3 linked regions of the Alligator mississippiensis genome follow. Each later gene encodes a partner of the first gene's protein in a complex. Links are inferred from orthologs where the notes say so. Each region holds a gene or a part of one and is shown in the gene's direction. Other genes may lie near its edges.

Evidence for each region.
Region 2: CHD4 (region 1) and MTA1 share a complex: the UniProt entries of both Homo sapiens proteins name them as parts of the nucleosome remodeling and deacetylase (NuRD) repressor complex. The link is inferred for Alligator mississippiensis from reciprocal best matches to the Homo sapiens genes CHD4 and MTA1.
Region 3: CHD4 (region 1) and CDK2AP2 share a complex: the UniProt entries of both Homo sapiens proteins name them as parts of the nucleosome remodeling and deacetylase (NuRD) repressor complex. The link is inferred for Alligator mississippiensis from reciprocal best matches to the Homo sapiens genes CHD4 and CDK2AP2.

The regions. Positions count from the first base shown.
Region 1 is NC_081824.1:243,465,207-243,472,028, reverse strand, and holds the start of CHD4 (chromodomain-helicase-DNA-binding protein 4), read left to right. Parts: upstream 1-3,816; 5' UTR 3,817-3,917; intron 3,918-4,582; 5' UTR 4,583-4,657; coding exon 4,658-4,754; intron 4,755-6,822. UniProt on the Homo sapiens protein: ATP-dependent chromatin-remodeling factor that binds and distorts nucleosomal DNA. Acts as a component of the histone deacetylase NuRD complex which participates in the remodeling of chromatin.
Region 2 is NC_081828.1:43,019,343-43,027,292, reverse strand, and holds the start of MTA1 (metastasis-associated protein MTA1), read left to right. Parts: upstream 1-4,948; 5' UTR 4,949-5,201; coding exon 5,202-5,229; intron 5,230-7,950. UniProt on the Homo sapiens protein: Transcriptional coregulator which can act as both a transcriptional corepressor and coactivator. Acts as a component of the histone deacetylase NuRD complex which participates in the remodeling of chromatin.
Region 3 is NC_081825.1:170,472,918-170,479,873, reverse strand, and holds the start of CDK2AP2 (cyclin-dependent kinase 2-associated protein 2), read left to right. Parts: upstream 1-3,954; 5' UTR 3,955-4,331; coding exon 4,332-4,446; intron 4,447-6,956. UniProt on the Homo sapiens protein: Acts as a component of the histone deacetylase NuRD complex which participates in the remodeling of chromatin.

The DNA.
Region 1 (6,822 bases):
TAAACCATACTAATGTTTTGAATTCAGAATAATGAAAGATTTCAGTGAATGTTAGCTAAATGGAAAATGTGTGGAAAATGGAAATATTTTACCCATGAATTTGTTGTATATCTGTTTGATTTACATTATACCAGAGTAGCACACAGCCCACTCCAGGTCAAAGCCCCTAAGAGGGAGATTGTTACAAAGTATACATGAAACCAACTCTGGTAACTGGCTTTATTCAACCTCTGCCAGAATGTTACTTTTTAACTTGTTGATCACACCCCTAGAAGCTAAGATCTTATGGGTATATCTGGAATTCTATAATAACTAACTGTGCAGAGGGCTGGCCTGCCTGTTTACCATGGAGTTACACAGATCTCTTCAACAAATCACAACCTTAATAGAGAGTATTATGTGAAGTCAGTAGGTAAATGAGGGAATGAAAAACATTGTTGATGTCTGTGTATAAAATGTAGGGAATGGATGCTGCTGTTATTAGAAGATGTACGTATCTATACTTGATGACAGTATCACATATATTTATGTATAGAATGGAAGATGCATAGTATTCATGTTAATAATAAGTCTTAGTGCTTATACAACAGCTTTAATCTGTAGATCCTTAGATAAAGAATAATATTATTATCACTATGCAAGGGAGAAAACAGTGAGGTGAAGACCTGTGCTGTACGTGTATATTGATTACACAGATGAATAGAGTGTCATGGGACTTATATATGTACAAGAAGAAGGTGAACAGTGTAATAGTATTTGGGGTGTAAAATCAAGTTTGGGTAATAATATAAGAAGGATGTGCACGGAACTGGCTGAGATGGATCACGTAAGGGAATTTGTTCTTATAGTTACAGGATGTTGGAGCATATAATGGGTGCAATTAAGTATAATCAAAGATGGATAATACTATCAAATGTACATGCTAACAACGAAGGTCCTATTATAGAATGTCCATATATATATATATAGTGAAAGGTTTGCTAGCCTGATGGGATGTCCACGCATATAGTGGCAGGAAAGAGACAGTGGTAGGGAAAATCTGTGCATATAATGTGTGTATAGGTAGTATTATGTGATGTGTGGGATGAAGAACAGTTTGTACTGCAGTGTGGCAGTGTGTGTAACATGAAGGCCTTCAGCAGTATCCTGAGGATTCATGTGCTTCAGATACAGTATGGGTAAAATTGTGGGACATTTGTGCACGTAATGGGGGAGGAGGAAGGATGAATAGCATGATGTAATGGAGGATGGGTAACATTATGCAATGACCATGTATGTAACGAGTAGGATGGACAATATGGAATGTCTGCCTCAATAACTGGGAGTTGTGGAATGTCCTGGTAAACTGGAGCGGTTAATATTATGGGACATCAATAAGTACAATGAAGATCTGATATATTTAATGGGATGTCACTTTGTATGATGAGGGATTAATTATATTGTACGAAAGTATGTATTATTGGGTTATTTGTATTTTTATGGAATGCCCATGTCATTATAAAGTGATGATTAGTATGACTAGTAAGGAAAGGACAATGCTATGAAGCGTCTAATAAAAGATATCACATCTGCCCAAAGAACCTTGTCTGCTTATGTCCTTAGACCAGCACGGCTACAACCAAAAACCGAAAACTCTAAAGTGTCTCAAGCCTATAAACAGGAAAAATGTCTGTGTGTAATTGGGATATGGGGAGTTTTATGAGTGCCACTGTTTATAATGGAAGGATGCCTTGTATTATGGGCTGTGTGTGCCTGACCTGGGATAAATATTCTTAGAGCATTTACATGTATAAAATAAAGTGATTAGAGTTGGGATTGCATTCTGGGAAATCTGTGTGCACTGTGAAGGGGAAGTAGGGTGTTCTGCATATACTGGGAGGGATAAGTAAGTAGCATGCCAGTATGTACCATGGGATAACAGAAGGAAGGGAAGAATTACAATACGAGATGTTTGTATAGGGAATGAAAGGTGTGAACAGTAATATGGGATGTCCGTAACAACAAACATGCATGTGCGCGTGCACACACATACACACAGAAGCACTCGATGAATGCTGGAGTGTACAAGGAACAAGAAATGCTATCATGGGCAGTCTGTGTGTATACTGGGAGGAAGCAGGATACCATTATGGCACAGCCATGTTTCTAGCATGATGGGATGCTCGTGTCTGTGGCCAGGAGCAGCTAGCATAATGGGAGAGGGTATTTTTGTTCATTTGTTTGTTTTTAATTTATAGCCGAGGCCAAATTAACCAAAACTAATTCCAGATCCAAGAGTCCAGAACCATCAGTGGCTCTACTCCACCCACACTTCGGGCTTCAGATGTTTCCAAATCCTTTGGTAGGCATCCTACTTGCAGGCCCAAGCCTGGAGAGTTGGGGTTTGGATGTCCCTGAGTTTTGCCTGCCTTTAGCCAGAAGGCCCTTGGTTGCAAGGGAGGAGACTCCCATTTCCATAAAGTGGGCTTAAAGCCACTGCACCTCAGCAGGTACTGAACCACGCCAGAAGAGCAGTTCTCCCGGGGTGTGGTTCAGGAAAACTGCCTTCATGGACACAGATATATGATATTTCCCCTGCCAGGTTAAGAAGCCACTACACTTGTCCTGAGCCATGAAGAGGCTAGCACAATGGGACATGAGGTTGGTAGTGGTTCACAGGCACAGCTCTGCACCATGGGCTGCCATGCCTTGTGGGTGCAGTGCTGGATGCTGGACTCCCTTTGAAGAGTGGGTGAGCTGATGACTGTGAGACGTGTGCCTGGAGGTCAGCTAGCATGGGCTCGCTGCCTGGGTGCGTGTTGGAGGGGCGCTGAGCACTCTGGGGTATGTGGAGTCTGCATCATCTGGAGGCATAAAGAATCCTGGCAGGCTATGCCAGAGTATTATGGGCTGCAGGCTGGCCCCGTGCCCCCAGTGGTTACTATGCTCCACATACAAAGGCGGGGAGGGGGCCTGGAAGTGAGCGGTCAGGGGTACAAGGAGGTTGGTGGGCAGTGGAGGGGCCCAAGTACCGTGGGCTGTTAGCTGGCACCCTGCTCAGCCTGGTCCGCCTGCATGGAGGGGGGACATATGAATGCGATTATTATGGGCTGCTTGGCTGGAGTGAGGGAGCGGGCAGTGAGTGCGAGTATTGTGGGTTGTGGCTAAGAGTTGCTGAGAGTATTATGGGATGCCGGGCTGGACCGTGGCTCCCGGCTACTATTATGGGATGGCTGGCTGAACGCAGCATGGGTGGGGGAGGAGGTGGAGAAGGTGACTATTATGGGATACATATCAGGGGGCATGACTATTATGGGATGTTATGGGGCTATTGTGGCACCTGGTAGTAGGGGGCTTGAAGAGGGGGCAGGGCTTATTATGGGATGCCAGGCCAGGCAGTGACAGGATACCTCCGTGAGGGGGCGGGGGGTTACCGCAGGATGTGTAGGTGGGGGGGAGGAACTATTATGGGTTGGTGGGGGGTGGAGGTGGAGGTCTGTGGGGGGGAGAGTGTGGAGGTTATTATGGGATGTCTCGGGGAGGGAGGGTGAGGGTGAGGCAGGGGGCATTATCGTGGGTTGGTGCAAAGGAGTATTATGGGATGTTGGAGTGAAGGGGTTAGAGTGTGGGGAGTATATTATGGGATGTTTCTCCGAGGAAGGGTTCTATTATGGGATGTTCCTGATGGAAAGGGGGGGAGTTGATTATTATGGGATGCAAGGCCGGGCAAGTGAGTGGGGAGTTCTGAGTGGAGGGTAAATATTATGGGATGTCTGGTTGCCCGGGTGACAGGGGCGGGGCTCGTTGCCGAGGTGCCGGAGCATATTATGGGATGGAGGTGAGAGTAGGCGGGGCCTGGCTGGGGTTTTTTTCCCCCCTTTAAGAGGCGGCACCGGGGCAGGAGCCATTTTCCCTTCAGCGGCGGCGAGTGGGACTGGGTGAGGAGCCGGGAGAAGACGCGGCCGGGGGGGTGGCAGGGGGTGCCGCCCCGGGTCCCTCGCGTGCCCGCCCGGCGCCCCGTGGGGCCCCGCGCCCGGCCCAGCCTGCACGGGGCGCACCTGCCGCCCGGCCCCGGCCCCACCGCGACGCGGCACCCGAGCGCCTCCTGCCCCGCCCGCCCCCGCCGGCCTGGACGCGGCCTTTGTTGTCCCCCGGCCACGCCGCGCCGGCCGCTAGGGGCAGCCCCGGGGGCGGGGCCGGGGCCAGGGCCGGGCGGGGGAGCCCCCTGGGCCGGCGCGGCACGGCGTGGTCGGGGACTGGAGGCGTGGGCCGGGCCTGCCGACTGGCGCGGCTGCTGCCCCGGGCCCCTGGCGCTGGCCCCGGCCCAGGCCGCCTTCTCGTCGACAGGCAGAGCCGGCCCTGGCAGGCAGGCGTGCGCCCGCCGGCCCCAGGCGTCCCCTCCGGGCCGTGGCGCGGCTCCCGCCAGGCAGGACTCTGCTGCTCGGCTTCGTTGCCGGGGGAGGATGGGGGCTGGTACCCGCGCGCAGCCGCCCCCTTCCCAGTTCTCCAGTCCGCTCCCCACGTGCTGCGGGGGGGCAATCCCTTCTCTGCAGGGTGGGTCTCCTGCCGGCTGCTGTAACTTACTTTCCTTCTCCCTTTTCAGGAAGCTGACGGGCAGGAGGAAGGAGACAAGGCTGCACGAGCTGTGTAAGCCCTGGTGTCCCTGCTTTGGGAAGACATGGCATCAGGCATTGGTCCGCTGTCACCCTGCTCTGCTGGTAGCGATGATGATGAGATGGAGATCCTGCTGAACAACAGTATTCCTCAGCATCCAGGTATGGATAGCACTGTCAGGATCTCTGCTGCGGCAAGCTGTGGCTCTCTTCTGTCTTGGTCAAGTCAGTGGTGCTGTGGGAGACAGTGGCAGGAGAAACTTGTATTGTTCGGAGGATTTCGCGTCTGATTGGAATATTTGGGCCTTAATGGTTGTTTTTAAGAGCGGCTGGTCCTGCAGTTCAGTGAGGTGAAGTTTCTCATTGCAAGCTGTTGCTGGTGGGTGGGAACATGTACCCTGATGGAGCCACCCACCGCCTCTAGAAGGTGCACACTTCATGGCTGGCGGGAGGATTCTGCGTTGGGGCAGGGTGTCGGGTTTGCACTTCTTCACTTGGGAGCTTAGACCTGCTAGCGTCCAGAGCAAACTGCCCTGGGCTATTGCATGACCCAGTTTCTTTACCCACCACACCCTGTTCTCTCAGCTTCTCCTGGATCCTGCTCTGCTGCTCCCCTTAGCCCTCTCTTTGTTGCAGTAGACGTACTGACTGCAGTGTGGTTGTAGGATGCAATCCTCTGGTGTATTAACCTGCAGTCCCTGTATCTGCCTCTTCTTTGTAAACGTAGTCCACGTGCCTCACACAGAGACTGAGAGCTAAAGAGACTGGGATTTATAACTGCTACTTCATTCCCAGCATTGTTACTGTATAGATCTCTACCTCTTCTCTCAACCTGTAAAACAAGGATGAATGTGTATCCTGGAGTAGTGGGTTGTAAAACATGAGCCTGAATTTGCTTCTGAACTGCCTTTTCACGCCATAGGTGAAAGGTGGCAGCAAAGTCTTGTCAACAGAATGCCATGGTATGGCTTATTATGGCCAGTTTGTTTTTGGGGTCCTCCTAGTAGCTGCAGAGCTCTGGAGAAATCTCGAGGGACTGGGTGAGAGTGAAGCAATGGAAAGAAGCTGAAAAATGGTGTTCCAGCATCTCCTCCTGAAGAGGGTATCTGTGAGCCTAGGAAAAGGAAGCCTTGTTAGGGTCGGGGCCAGGCCCCTCATTGGTTAAGTCACTGGGAAGTTAAGAAGCTTGGGCAATGTACTAAATGGTGTAGGGACATCAGACAGTTCTAAATCAGAACTTGCTGGAGGGGTAGATTATGGAGCCCACACTTGTGGGTAGGATTCAGTAAATGTTGCTGGATGAAGGCATACTTATGTCAATTAGAAATGTGGCAAGAATACTCTCTCTGCCCAAAGATACAGGATCCCAGGCTGAGCACTTCCTTTCTCTCTTGTCCTTTGGTTGTTGTGACTTGTGGCTTCCCCCATCTGGCTTAGCTCCTGTGGTCAGGAGGCCATTTTCCCTTGGAGGGAGAGCGAGTGACTCTGTAATGGGCGGGGCGGCAGGGGAAGGCGAATGGTTGGACTGCTATGGATCTTGTCACAAAGGAAAAAGCTGTCTGGCTGTCCATGCTCCTCTGGGCTTTGTGTGGGGGGAGGGGGAACAGATGGGAGTGTGTGGGGGAGCTGGCAATGCATTACAGTGATGAGGGATTGAGCTTGCTGACTTGTGCTTGAAGAAGGGTTTGTGGATCCTGTTGCACTGGATTTCAGCGAGTTTGCCCTAAGCAGCAACTATGCAGGTGGGAGAGAGGCAAGCAGCAGATGACAGTTTTGATCTTTGCTTGCCATTGCAGGGTCTCTTGTGCTGAAAACATTTTTATGGGAGATCTTGGGATGGAGCCCATGCTCTGATTCCAGCCTAGCTGGTCCTTGGACTTTCTGCTGTGTTGTAGTCTGTCTATCCCAAAGACCAAGGTGTGGCTCCCTCTCTCTCTTCCTTTTCCCTCCCCCCACTTTTCTCCTGTGCCACTTTGCTGGCCACATCTGCAGGACTCGGCAGCCCACTTGCTCAATCTTTGCTATGTCTGCTGAGCTAAAGAACTTTCTAATCCTCAAATATTTCATGTGGCTCTGCTCAGAAAAGTGTCACTGAGACAAAAAGAGGGGATGGATAGTGATTTTTTGCGGGGGCGGGGGGGATGATAAGGAGGGAACACAGGGTGTATTGGAGCTATTACTCTCTTATTCAGTGTGGCATAATCTGACTAGCCAGACTTGTTTCGAATGT
Region 2 (7,950 bases), on another chromosome or scaffold:
CTATCCTGGGGAAGGTCTTGGAAAAGATTGTCAAAGAGGCCATCCTTAACAGACTAGCTGATGGCAATATCCTGAGGGATAGCCAGCATGGGTTTGTTGCGGGTAGGTCTTGCTTGACCAACCTCATTTCTTTTTATGACCAGGTGACCTACCTGTCACCTGGACAAGGGAGAGGAGATTGATATCGTATATCTTGACTTCAAAAAAGCCTTCAATCTGGTATCCCATGATCACCTCTTGGCAACACTGGTCAACTGCAGCCTCGGGTCCACCATGATCCACTGGCTGGGGAATTGGCTCTGTGGTCGGACCCAGAGGGTGGTGGTTGACAGAAGTCAATCGCCATGGTGCCCTGTGACCAGTGGGGTCCCCCAAGGTTCTGTCCTTGGACCTGTATTTTTCAACATCTTCATTAATGATGTGGACATTGGAGTCAGAAGCGGACTGGCCAAGTTTGCCGATGACACCAAACTCTGGGGTAAAGCATCCACACCTGAGGACAGGAGAGTGATCCAGGCTGACCTTGACAGGCCCAGGAAATGAGTGAATGAGAACCTGATGGTGTTCAACACCAAAAATGCAAGTTTCTCCACCTTGGGAGGAAAAACCTGCAGCAACCTTATAGGCTCAGCAGTGCTACGCTGGCTAGTACTATGAATGAAAAGGACTTGGGGGTCATGATTGACCACAAGATGAACATAAGCCTTCAATGTGATGCTGTGGCTAGTAAAGTGAGCAAAACACTGGCTTGCATCCAGAGATACTTCTCAAATAAATCCTGGGACGTCATTCTCCCATTGTACTCAGGCTTGGTGAGGCTGCAGCTGGAGTATTGTGTCCAGTTTTGGGCTCCACAATTAAAAAAGGATGTGCAGAAGCTTGAGAGAGTCCAGAGAAGAGCCACGTGCATGATCAGAGGTCAGGAAAACAGACCTTATGACGACAGGCTGAGAGTTATGGGGCTCTTTAGCCTGGAAAAGTTCAGGCTGAGGGGCAACCTGATGGCCAGCTATAAGTTTATCAGGGGTGTTCACCAGGACCTGGGGGAATGATTGTTCACCAGAGCGCCCCAAGGGATGACGAGGTCAAATGGTTATAAACTACTGCAAGACCATTTCTGGCTGGACATAAGGAAGAATTTCTTTACTGTCCAAGCCCCCAAGGTCTGGAATAGCCTGCCATGGGAGGTGGTTCAAGCACCTACACTGAATGCCTTCAAGAGAAATTTGGATGCTTAAGTTGCTGGGATCCTATGACCGCAGCTGACTTCCTGTCCCTTGGGTTAGGGGGCTGGACTCGATGATCTTCTGAGGTCCCTTCCAGCCCTAATGTCTATGAAAACAGCAGTGGAAGAGAGAGAAATTCTCATTTGGTGAAAGACCAGAGAGGGGGAGATTAAGGGAAGAATAGTGGCATCTTTATCCCATTGCTGACTGGGGTCACTTCTGTTCCTGGTACAACTTCTAGCAGTCCCAGAATTCCTGTAAATTATACCCTGCTGCCTTTAGTTTATGAAATTGTCTTCACTGCTGAGGGTTGCTAGAATGACTTTGAACTTGTGAATCTGGGATGGAGGTTGGCATTAGAGTCTCTACCCCAGCTTCAAGCCACTTGAAGACTCCCAATTAACACGGTTTTGCCCTCAAAACACTGCAAAATAGATGCATCAGTTGGGAGAATTACTGGCTTCCTCTCCAAATAATCTTGTGCAACAGTAGTCTCCTTATTGCATGTAGCTGAAGATTTCTGTTAAGTGCTGTTCTACCCTAGTAATGGCAAGCAGGCAGTGTCATCAGTTGGCACAGTGAATTTCACTGTTTCCTGTTCAGTGTCACAAATATCTCAGAAATCTTCTGCATGGAAATTAGATTCATTGGGGCCTGAAGCAAAGGAGTTTGTGGATGACATTGTAGTTGAACGGAATCTATTAAGCTCAACTTAAAGCTAAAGTAAATTTAGAGGGCAACTGAAGATAATTGACTAAAGCTAAACTGATAAAGATGTATGTTCCAGCAAACTAGTTATATTGATTGATAAAGAAAGGGTTAGGGCAGTGACAAAAGAAATCAAAGCCACAGCTGAAAGGCCATCGCTGTGAAAATAGAAATGGTATTATGTCTCAGTAATTGCTAGATTTTGGAACCCTTGAAAGGCACGTTTGTAGTTATTTGCATAAAACAATGAAGGCAAACCTGAGATAAGGTAAAGGAATGTGTTTTTGAGGGTCTGATGCATCTACTTACTGTATCCCCAATAGTGCTATTTGATGATGCTTCCAGGTTTGTAGCTATTTCAGTAGAAACCAGCAGCTATGATCTTGGTAAGTTTGTGCTTTAGTTGCACAGATTAATGGAAGATGAGTGGCTGGAACGCTATTCAGAAAACTATTGGTTGAGATTTTCAAAGACAATGGAGGATTTAGCCCTTTTGCATTTGTAGAGGTAAACATTTTAAAAAGCTTTGGAAATCTTGACTATTGCATATGAAGACTCCAAGAGAAGCCATGCTGAAACAGAGAGAATTTCTGATTAACAAACGCACAAGTAATTTGTAGGATATTTGAAAACATTTAATAATTTCATGTTGGTGATGGAGCACAAACCACTTGTACCCTCACAAACAGACAAAACGCATCTTAAATGCCAGAGATTGCTCATGGGTTTAACTTTCAAGTGTATTGCTATAATACATACTGAAGCAGTTGCCAATCTTTTAGAGAGCCTGTAAAAGTGGTTACGCTTTCTCGAAGAGCCCTATTTTATGATCTGACCTCTCCAGAGGCCATATATGTAAAAGAGTTTCTGCTCACTCTTGCCAGAAAAAAAAAAAAGAACCGATTAAAATAGCTGTTTGGTCTGTCTCTGCAAGCCGGTTCCAAAGTTTTCAAACAAGATTGGCTTGATTATGTATCAGGGGTTTACCATGCAGTCTGTGACATCTATTTAATGAGAGTTTAACTCTGTAAAGAGAAAAGTTTGATTACCTATAGTATTTGTACTGTGATCCCACAGTCCCTGCAGAGTGACCTGTTGTAAAGACTGCATAAGGAGTAGCAGGACCTCAAAAATACTAGTGTTAGCCTGGATGTTAGTGTGCTGACCCAATACACCACAGGGCCTAAAATGAAGGTAAAAACATGCAAATCTTGAGTGATCTGAAAGAAAGGCAATTCGAATAACTTCCTTTGATGAGAAGGAGGAAATGAGGCAGGTCTGGTCAATAACCATTAACTTTTTCTAGCTTTATAAAAATGCTACTTCTCATTAAACCTGTAAGCCAAAAGGGCTTAGGGAAAGTTAGAAGACTTTTTTTTTCCAGTTTGACCTCTGAAAAATGGTTGCTGACAATGGATTATATTTGCCAGCCCTGAATTTCAACTTATGGTGATTATAGAACAATTTCAATATTAATTCTAGCCTTCCCCCAGGGAATGTAATACCAGAGAAAGCTGTATATTATATTACTAAGAAAAGTCTACAAAAAAAAAATAAAAAATTCAACGCTAGCTCTGAGCTCCACAGCCATGTCTGCTTCAGTCACAAGAGTTACCTCAGGTCAGTTGAAAAACAAGGCTCTAACCTCAGAAGTACATTTTAGGCTTGAGTAATCCTAGTTTAAAGGATACAAAAGCTCTAGGGTGCTGACTCCAAAGACATCTTTTGGCTTTCTTCTTTAACTGTCAGAATGCTGCCTAAAGCTTACTTGAAGATAAACCTGGACACTCGGCCCTATTAAAATTGGATGGGAAGTACTGGACAACACCAGCTGCTGTCACCGAACGTAATGGTACAGAGTTTCTGTGTCGTCCACACTGGTTAAGGAACTCAGCACAGAAGGAGCAGCAACTACCACCAGCCAGCTCCACGTGCAGCAGACTTGACGGGTGCTCCTTTTAGCAGCGGTAGTGTTAGAGTGATGTTGTAGCTGTGATGGTCAAGGAATTATGCAAGAGGCGAGGATTTCTTAGGATGACATCTCTTATTGGACTTAACTGTATAGTTGGGATACAGCTAGACAAGCCTAGAGACCTATTGGAGGTCTTGCATTTGAATCCTGGTCTAACTCTACCCCAGCTATGCAGCATGTTCAATAAAAGATGTCGCCCCGAGGAATCCTTGCCTCTCGCCTAATGGCGATGGCACTTGAACCACAACCCTAGTGAACTGTGATTCCCGCTCCTCCTGGAGCGAATTGATTGGCCAAAACCCTCAAGGCTGGGATAAGGCCTAACAGGGGAATGAGGGAGGCACCTTTAATTTTTCTAATGTTTAGTGTTGTTTTTACTGAAAGAAAGGTGTGACCTTAAACCCAGAAGCTAGGAAGCTGGGGGCCTGCGTGTTGTTGAGGTGCAGTAGCCATCCTGCCCTGGCTGCGTGCGGCAGGAAACGGTCCCTGTCGCTGTCCATCTCAAGCTCGGTTTTAACTGCGCTTTCCTGTGGCCGCGACCACCGCCAGAAGGGCTTAAGCAACCGGGGCCTGGCTTGGTGTAACCACGGCCTCAGACAAGCGGCTTTAAGGCTCCTGCGCCTGGATCCTTTGTTTCGCTACGGGCAGTTTCTTGTTCAGCAGTAGGAAGTCGCTTGGTGCGGGGCTTTAACGTGGGATGGGGTCAGGCCAGAGATGGCGCAGGCGGTGCTCTGTGTGGGACCAGCCCGGTGCCCATGCCCCAGCCACCCAGCGGGTTCAAACGGGGTTCCCCAGGGCGGTGGGTGGCACCTGCGCGGTCCAGGCCAGGAGCCCGCCTGCCTCCCCGGGGGCCTGGCAGACCCGGGGCGGGGAGGGCCCCCCACCCGCCGGGGCCGAGGCCCAGCAGAGCCCGCTCTCGGCGCTGAACAGAGCATAGCAGAGCAGGGCCGGGCCGGGCCGGGCCGCCGCGCTCCCGGGGCGGGGCGGGGCGGGGCGGGGCGGGTCAGGTGGGGCGGGGCGAGGCAGGGCGGCCTAGGCCTCGCGACGCCGCCACCATCACCTCCACCCCGCCCGAGTGCCAGCCCTCTCTCGGCCCGGCCCTCCCTTCGCTTCGCCTCGCCTCGCCTCGCCTCGCCTTCCCTGCCGGCCGGGGGAGGCGGCGGCCGGCGCGGCCCCTTTAATTCCCTCGTTCCCCTCCCCCTCCCGGCCGCTCCAGCCTCCATTTTCCAGCGGCTCCGGCACCTGGAGGCAGCGGCGGTGGGAGCGGGCCGGGCCCCCGCGCTCCCCGCCCGGGCATGGCCGCCAACATGTACCGGGTCGGAGGTAAGAGTCCCCGCGGAGGGGCCCCGGCCCCCTACCTGCCTCTCTCTCTCCCGCCTGCCGGCTGGCCGGCCGCTCCTCCCCGTGTGCGGCGGCGTCACGGGCCGGGCCGGGGGTGCGTGAGGCTGGAGCATGTCCCGGGGCTGGGGGGCGAAGAGAGAGGGCCGGGGCAGCGCTGGCTGGAGGGGCGCGGGTGTGTGCTGCCTGCCGCCCCCGCCCTGCGCATCCTGGCCGGCGCTGGCCCGGGGCGAGCACGGGCCCCGCGGTGAGGCCGAGCTTTCGGGGCGGCCTCGGCCCTCCGCCCGCTCCCTCGGGGGAGCTGGTCGCGGAGCCCGTCTCAGGCTGGCGGCGGGCGGGGGGAATCGGAGACCCCTGCACTGCTTCGGCCCCAGGGCGCGGGGGTCCCGAGTGCGCTGTGGCGCTCGCTCTCTTGGGGTGGGGAGATGGACTAGAGTAGATTTAACAAAGAAAACCTGACAGGTGGGAGAGCGGCAGGAAGTTGCAGCAGCCCCAGCCCCGACGGGGGCTTGCTGTTGTCCTCCCGGTCCTGCTCATGGATATGGCTCTCCCTGTGCAACTTGTTGCACCTCCCTGTTGCCTGGCCCTCCGTGAAATGCCAGGACATGGATACCTTCCTCCTGGCTGCGTTTTGGCTTGATGATGAGACCGTACTACAATTTGGTTGCCATGACTTTGCCCCTTGGGCCACTGGGAAGATGGTGGCGAGGGTTGAGCGCCGCTGCCATGGATTGGAGACGCTTGAGACCTGGACGGTGAAGAACAAGAAGTTTTGCTGGCTTTCGGCTCGTTTCTTGTCGCAGTTTGTAAACGGGGTTTCTGAGGGCCTGGCTGTTCTGTTAGTGAGTACCAGTCTCTCTAGTTGTATTGGCTTAGAGCGATAGTTAGCCCTGTTAGTCTGAAGGCAGGGCAGGGTGGCACCTTAGTAACTGAATGAGTTAGTCTCTAAGGTGTTGCTTTGCTTTGCTTGGAAGACAGAGAGCTGCTCTGTAGGCCATGCTGTTCAAGGCAAAGACTATTTATCGTGATTACCACTCTGTTAACTTACATGTGGATGAAACCTTCACTTGTCATGTTGCCAAGACCTACAGGGATGATGGAACTATTTCTAGATGACTACTCTGTTGAGTGTGACTAGAAGTAGGAGGCTGTGTTGGTTGCCCCTGAGTTTGGAAACAAGTACCTTTCTGCTTCAAACTTTGTTGTAACTCGCACAGGAGATGGGTGCACACAAGATGTGATTAGGTCATGAGCAGCTGTGAATAGACCATCTTGATTCTGATGATATATTGACTACAGGTTTCCTTCGCCAACCATGGTTTTGAGTCTCCACGCTTAAAATTCTGTATACTGTGGTAGCCAAAACGGTATACAGTTCTAAGTAACCCCAGTTTTCCACGGCTGCGTATCGGCCCGCCCCCTGCCATTTTTCATATATGCCTTTTGTCTTGCCTACCACAGGAACTTTCAGGAATCTAACCTGAATGGCTAGTGGTTGGCAAGGGAAGCCTGTAGTTGTTTTGGTCACCCAGTCATATTGTCCTCCTGAGATACTTTGGTGCTTGTATGGATGATGACCCATGTATGAATCAACCAGTACCTGCCCTAGTGATCGTAGGCCTATACTAGGCTGTTTTTTTGACTCAGTAAATGTAGATGGTAATAACTCTTAAAACCAAGTTTGGAAGTTAGTTTGACAGCAGTTGTGCTGAACATTATTTTATTGTGGTATGGTCATACGCTTGTGCAAACTGTTGCCAGGGATTTGTTCGTGGTCTGGGCCATAGCTTTGTTCCTGTTGACCTGTGAAATCTGTTTATCTGTCCTCCAGAACTAACAGTTGAGTCTTATCTTTCTCACGGCATTTTTTCCCTGTTTGGCTGGTAGACAACTCTTGTAGGGACTTACAGGACCTACAGTGCCTTTCAGGAAACTCTGTTTTGCGCTCTAATATGGATGCTATATTTCCTAAATGTATATTGTATGTATACATGTACAACGCTTGCAGATCACCTTGGTTTATAGATGAATGGCAACTTGAAAAGGAGGTCAGAGCATCAGTTGCAGAAATCAAGTGCCGAATTTGACTGCTCGTTCTAAACTTTTCAGATCATGTCTCTTAGCTATAACAGAGATGCTTTTCTTCACCAAACATTCACAGGAGTATGAATATGGGCTGCTTTTGGAAACAATCAAATGTGTATTTTCCATCTTTGTTTTAGGCAGGTTTGAGTGGCTTTGCACTGAATTGGCTGCCTGTGTGATCACCGGTATCTGTTTGGATTTTGCATCTCTAGGAATGTTGTGTTGGGCAAAACTGACCTCTGAATATATTGGGGAGCTTTGGTTTGGGACTTGCTGCTTGGACTTCTGCCCCTTCTGGCTACTAATGTGCTCTGATGTAAATTCACTGTTGTGGGATTGGGATTTTACCTATTCAGGAGGATATTGTCAGGGCCTCCAAGAGAACAAATAGATACTCTTATCAGTAAACTTCCTTTTCCAGCCTACTTCTGGATGAAAGTTAGTGGGCAGCTTCTCACATGGTCTGGAGTTAAAAGAATTCCCTTATTTTATTATTAAACCTGAATACAGAATAAAGAGCCCTTGTTTTGAGTCTGTAAAAGTGTGTCTACACAGAAATGGAAACTGCAATTGCAGGGCAGGAAGGCAAACCAATGCAAGCTTTAATCTAGCTGCCAAGGT
Region 3 (6,956 bases), on another chromosome or scaffold:
CTACCTTGGGCCCCATGCACCACCCCGGCTGGGTAGCATCCCCAGCCCCAGCCTCAGCTGCTAACCCTGCCCCACTCCCTCCCTCACCATGGGGACCTCAATCTGCCTCCCCACCCCAGACTTATCTGTAGGCAGCTGGGGGAGCTGCTCTCCCCTGCTGCCTGGGGCTGTGTTGCTGGCCACATGCGTGAGTGCACACATGCATGTGGCTCCTCCCATGTCTTGCTTCCCTTAGCCCCAAGCAGCCCCTTGCAGGCTGAAAGGGGAAACCTGCTGTTTCCCACAGTTTTCCACAGCAAATGGAAAACCTGGCTCCCTGCATGCTACTGGGAAACCCAGGACAAATGCTGTCCAGGAGTCAAGCAGCCTGGGACAAGGATTTGACCTTTAAATTTTGGGACTGTCCTGCCCAATTAGGAACGGGTGGTCACCTTAGTTGAGGGACCATATTGTGTGTGGAGCACTAGGGTTGGGAGTGAGTGGAATCCCTGTTTTGTGATCTGGGGAGATGGGACTGGAGATGAGGACAGGTCTATTTTGTGTGTAGGCAGGAAAGGGGGCAGACTAAGCCAAGGTGTACTCTGCACTGGGTCAATCAGTATTAGTTTGTTAATGAAATTTATTGATAACACACTCCTGCTATTTGTGCCAAGGTCATTAAAGAAAATAATTTCAGTCTCAAGACCGATCCTGGAGGCACTCCCTTCTGTTATTCAGCCCAATATTTCCCCTTTCAATGCTACCAGCTGTCATCTTCCCTTTAATCAGGTCCTTACTCACCCAACAGTTCTTGTATAGTATTCATTGCTTTCAGTTTAGCTAATAATTTCCTAGGTGACATTCTTTCAAATGCTTCTCTGAAGTCCAGACAAATGAGCTCTACTACATGTTCTTGGTCTAGAAAGACTGCTATCTTAGTGAAGATGCAGGATGGAATGTTTAAACTTTTGTAAACTCGTATTGTAATTTTTCCCATTTTCCATATAACTAATTTTTAGTCTTCAAAATTAATTCAAAATGCAACGATTAAAATTAATTAAAACATCTTCATATTATTAAGGCCAGACTAACAGATGTGCTGATGAAACTGTAAAGGTGTCTTGCTCAAAGTGTGAATTTGAGCCCTGCTGTGGAGTTGTGCCAAAAGCTGCCAACAGTTGACTTAGCTATAAATAGATACCAGGTTTCTGTGGCTGGGAAATTAAAAGGAGCTGGCAGTGATACTAGCCACATCATTCCCTTGTGTGCTGCTGACTGGAAACTGGCTTGTTTTAACCATGCTAACACAACTAGCCCTTTGACTTGGGCAGAATCTCAACCTAAACAGGCCTCTAGTTGCCCAGGTCACTCCTTTCTCAATAAATACAGGCACTATTTATTTTCTAGCCATAGGATACAATTCTTGATTTGATAGATTAATTACAAATCCTTGCTCCCAGACCTGTGATTGTGGGTGTTGAGTCTTTCAGAATTCCAGGATGCAGACTGCCAAGCCCCCACCCCTACATGGGCACATTGAGCTCTTAGTATTCTGTTTCCCATTCAGCCGTGGTCATTTCCATTTCCATACCCTCTCACCCTGCCTTTGGCTCCACTGTCAGCCTAACTTTCCTTACTGCAAAATGAGAAGTGGGTGCATCTACATGTGCTATAAATGCACTTACTGCACATTAAAAAAGGAGTAGTAAATTGCACCTGGGGAAAAGTCTTACATGTGTGCTGGCAAATTTGCTCCCAACTGGAGCAGGTGAGACAAGGGATGTCCCTGTGCCCCCTCCCCCCTGCCCTGCTCTGCCTTGTTGCAGCAGCCAGGGGGAGCTCCAGGCTCCCCGAGGTGCCAGCTCCCGGCTGGCAAAGGGCAGGGAGCTGGTCCCAATCACCACGTGTAGGGGAAAAGCTGTCCTAGCAGCTGGGACTGCTGAATCCCAGCCACGTGGGGATTGGACCCAAGTGGCTGGGAGAGGGGTGCTGCCTGGCAGCCATATGGGAATCAGGAGGGTCCTGATCCCCACATGACTGGGAGAGGACCCTTCCCATCCCCACATGGCTGTCTCTGCCAGGTGAGGATGTTTCTTCTGGCCATGTGGGGACACCTCTCTCGGTCATGTAGCTATTGGGATCCTGAGTCCCACTTGGCTGGGATGCAGCAGTCCTGGCTGCCAGGACAGCTCTCCCAGCCATGTGGTGATCAGGACAGTCCCTGTCCCTATGTGGCAGGGAGACAGTTGCCCCTGCAGCCAGCACAGCTCCTGCCACATGGGGCTTAGCCTGGCAGCAGTGGGCCCCCTGGTGCCTGGACTGGCCCAGAGCAAATGCTCCTGGCCAGCATCTGCACATGCACTACTGCACAGTGGCTAATGTACACTTGATCTACTACTACATGTATTTTCAGGTAGTAGATAACTGCACATTAGCCTATAATGCAGTAGCTTGGCATATGGATAAATAGTGACACTTTACTACGCAGTAAATTAGTCTATTGTGCAGTAAAGCATCTCCTGTAGACACACCCAGTATTTACTCAGTTTGTGGCCCACATTGCACCCCTCACTGCATACTAGCCACCCCGCTTCTGTCCTTGTTCTCTATTTCTTTTGTTATTTTTCTTAAATGTTGCAATGTCTAACACGTCTTAATGTTTAGCAATTCTCACTTTATTCTTAAATTTCTTAGCTTTCTGGGCTGTTCTGACCATTTATCCCACTTTTTGCAGACTCTGCTTATTCCAAATATCCTTCCTGAGGTGATATCCCTCCTCCCCACTGAATACAAGGTCCAGATAGATGTTTGCATCTTTGAGTTTCTGCACTTGAATTCAATTCCCGGGGCTCCTTAGGCTGGTTGACTTCAAGTGTGCCCTTCTGAAGCAGCCTAGATACAGACTTATTTTATTTTAATTCTTTGTGAATTAGACTGAATCATCTCATGATGATTTGACCTACACTCCCCCTACGCGTCACCAATGCTTCCAAGAGAAATGCCACTGGGAAGCTAAAGACCACAAGGCCTAGGGAGGCTGCAGCACCCACTGTAATGCCCTCTCCTGGAGCCAGCGGTGCTTTCCCTACCTTCCCCCTCACATGAACAGGGAACTCTAGGGATGCAGAAAGAGGTGCAGCTGCCAGCTGTAACTCAAAACGACTTTTGGTTCTGAGTTACAAGCTTACCCCAGACGAAACAGAAGTTCACTGTTGGTTGGGGGGGGATCTAGCTGGAGGCCAGGTTCCCACAGCAATGGCGAAGCTCTGTGCCAGCGTTCACCTTTTCGAGAATGAGAGAGGCGAAAGGCCATGGAGGGAGCTCTTCTTCGGGCTCCCTGGCTGGTGCCAAAGGGTAGAGGTGAATTGGAGCCTCTCCCCGAACCTAGGGGGCCTCCAATACACCTGTCCCACTGGTGTACTCCCTCTGCCCCCTTTCCCCCTCCCGTCCTGAAAACAGCGACAGGCTGGGAGCTCCCAGACACAAGTTACAGAAGACGCTAGTTTGAAAGGTCTTTATCTGATCCCTCCTGCAACAGGGGGTCAGGTTTTCACCAGGCAGGCCGTTTTTGAAGCTGTCTGCAGCCGCGTGCTTGTGTTTGGTCACAGCTAGAAGCTGCTTTCTGTGGCCTGATCAGGCAAAAATGGTCACTTCTCTTGCACCACAGAAAGCAGGCAGCCTCCCGGGGTCCTTTTCCTGCCCAGCGCCCCGGAGCGCCGGCGGGGCGGGCTGCAAGAGCTGCACACGGGCTGGACGCGGAGGAGGCGCAAACACGAAGTGCTGCAGGAGGACACGAAGGCCCTACGCACCGTGCGACACACGACACGAGCCGCCCCGCCCGGCCAGGCCAGGCCAGGCCGCGCCGCAGAGCGTCCCGCTGGTTTCCTTGGAGACGGCGGCGATCGGGAGGCGGGGCGACGTGATGAGGTCACAGAGCGCGGGGGGCGGAGCGCGCAGGCGCAGCGGCGGCGTCACTGCGAGCGGCCAGCCGGGGTCGGAGGCGAGCAGAGCGCGGGTCTGGCTGGCAGCCACGCGCCGCAGCACCGGCCCCACCCAGCGCGAGAGCGCGCCCCGAGCCGGCCAGCGCGGGAGCGCGCCTCCTGAGAGCCGGGCCTGCCTGAGCGCGACCGCGCGCACACACCCCACGCGAGGGCACTGCCGACCCCGCAGCGCCGGGACCCAGCGAGGAGAGCGGGGCAGCGGCAGCCAATCGGGAGCGAGGGGTGAACGGCGCCGGCCAATCGGCGCGAAGCGCCTCGCCGGCCGCCCAATCAGCGTCGCGCGCCGCGGCGGGGGCCGCCGCCAATCCGCGCCACGAGCCGGGAGCCCCGCGCGGCCGTCGCCCGTCGGGGATGTCCTACAAGCCCATCGCGCCCGCCCCCGCCAGCAGCTCCGGAACCGCCGGCGCCAGCAGCAGCAGCAGCAGCGCCAGCCCCGCCGCCCCCGGGCCCGGGGCCCCGCCCGCCGGTGAGGGACTTTCCGCCTCGCGCAGCCCCCGGGCGGGACTGGCCGGGTGGGGGGAGGGGGGTGAAACCTTCGCGAGCCGGAAGTGGCCTCTGGGTCCTAGTGCGAGACGGTGGCTTTGGGGCGGGTCCCGCCTAACCCTGCGGGGGAAACTGGCTCCTGAGACCACACATGGGAACCTGTCTGACCCGCGGCAGGGGGGCAAGCCCCTCCCCCAGGAGCGTCGGGGCTTAGCCCCAGCAGGAGCCCTGGGACGGCCCAGTTTGGTCCACAGCAGTTCTGGGGGAGGTGAGCGAGGTCCCCCCACAGGTGTAGCAGCAGGAGTGGGGAATCCTGCCCAGCCCAGCCCAGCCGCTTGGGAAATACCAGGTGCCTTGCACTGTGCCCAGCAGTTTTGGCCAGCATGTACAATGCCACCCATTGCAGCCTCTCCCTGGGTGGCCTGACCTGCTCTGTCCCTGCCGTAAGCTTGTCCTGACTGGTTTAGCCTTATGTAACTCAGCCAGTCAAGGAGCTCTGCTTCGTTCTGCTGCTGAGCATAGCCTGCTCTAGGCTGTACTGTTCCTCTAGTTATCTCCAGCCAGCGGTGTATGTCGGGGAGCTTCTGGGCTTCTAGCTGGTGCTCTAAAAGCACCCTTGGGCGTAGCTAGATCATCCCTGTCCAATGATTGTCTCACCTGTTCTTGAACCCCTCCTGTGAAGGAGAGTTCACAGCTTCCCTAGGCAGTCTGGTTCATTGCCTCACTGGTCTAACAGAGAAGAAGTTGGAGTGATGTGATGTAGTCGCCAAACAAGAAAATGCAGTTTGAAACAGGGCACACCTTCATGCCAAAGGCAGGAAAGAAATGCCATCACTCAATGTTGTCTGGGGCGAGGGGCTCCCTTACCAGGGGTAAAGGATAGCTGATGGTGGGTGACTTGACCTGCTGCTAATTGGCCAGCAGCTGAAGCTGTTGCCTTGTGGGCCTTGGTCACCAGGTACTGCTGTGGCCCATAGGACATGTGCATAAGCTTGTGTCCCCCAGGAGCAAGCAGTGCTGCTCCTCTGCCATGAATTGAGAAGGAAAGCTTCGTCAGACCAACATGGTGTCTTGGTTTCTTTCAGCATCCGTGCACTGTTTGTGCCTGGCTAGGCGTATGTAATAGGGGCTCCTGATCCTTATTAGTTGAGTGGAGTGAATGCAGTGCCACAGAGGGCAGGCTGTGGGGGCAGCTTGCAAAGAAGCTGGCTGCAGAGCTTTAACCCTTTATGGAAAAGCAACCTGCACATGCAGGCCATGGAGATGGGCTCCAAAAAATAAGTTTACTAATTAGTGAAGAGGATGCCCTATGCCTGGTTCTGAGAGTTAGAGGTCAGGTGACCCAAAGGGAATGGAGCCTAGGGCAATATAAGACTGGCTTTTAGGTTGGAGGGGGCTTTCTGGCCCAGACCTTGAAGAGAGAAGGATCTCTGCAGAGGGTCTCATAGATGAGTTGTTTTTGTTTCTCTTTCAGTTTATATTAGCTGTGAGGCATGGGGTGGCTAGAGGGGAAGAGTGGAGGCTACAAGCGAGCATCTTAGGGAGTGTATTGTTGAGTGTTTTGGTTTGGAGAAGGTAGTAGCCTTGTGAAGCCATGGCAAGTACCTAGAGAGGCCCTGTGAGTTTAGTTCATTGGAGCTGGGTGGAGACTGCAGGCCCAAGAGAGGGATATAGGTTAAGGGTAGAAACTGGCTTGAGACTGAGGACTGGTAAGTATTAAACAGAGGGAGACAAAGGGTTGGACTGATTGGCAGCCTGATGATGAGGAGAGCAGAATGAAGTGCTCTAAGGCCTGGTCTTGTGTTGCAAGGGCAGCTTTCCATATTTGTATTTATTTTCCAGCCAATGAGGATAGGACGATATCCTGTTCCTCAGTCTAGTTCCCCAGGATAAGTAGGGCTGTCTTCAGAGGCAGGGCAGCTTTTGGATTGGGCCTGAGAATATTGAGAGGTATCCTCCTTGCACCAAGGTGCAACAGTAGAAGGCCAAGACTCACTGCAACCCTAGTGTCCCAAAGGACTCTGGGAGACATTTTGTAGGGAGCTGTCAAGTGAGATTGAGTTAGTGGGGCAGAGGTGACATGCATTGCTGTAGGAAGGCTGGGGCAGCCTGAAGCTGGGCAGGCCAAGGATGGAGAAAGTGAGTTCAGCTCATGTGGTGGTGTGGGCTAGGCACAGGGAGGGCTGTGCCACAATCTCAAGCCATGGCCCATCCTGGGCTGAACTATACAACAGGGCAGAAAAAAGATGTCCCACTCGGTGAGTTTCTCTGACTCACTTCCCGTGTGAGTCAGCAGTCTGGGAGGAAGGTGGGTGCAGGCTGGGATGGCGGTGTTGAGAAACAGCTGTAGCAAGCTGAAGGGGTACTGTGTTGGGTGGACAGGTCCAGGAGGAGCACCTAATATTAGGGCTGATTTCTGAGTTGGGCAGTGGATCTAAGATCAGGCTGTGAGGAGGAGGCTCTTGAAAGGAGGTGGCTCTTCTGCAAGGCAGG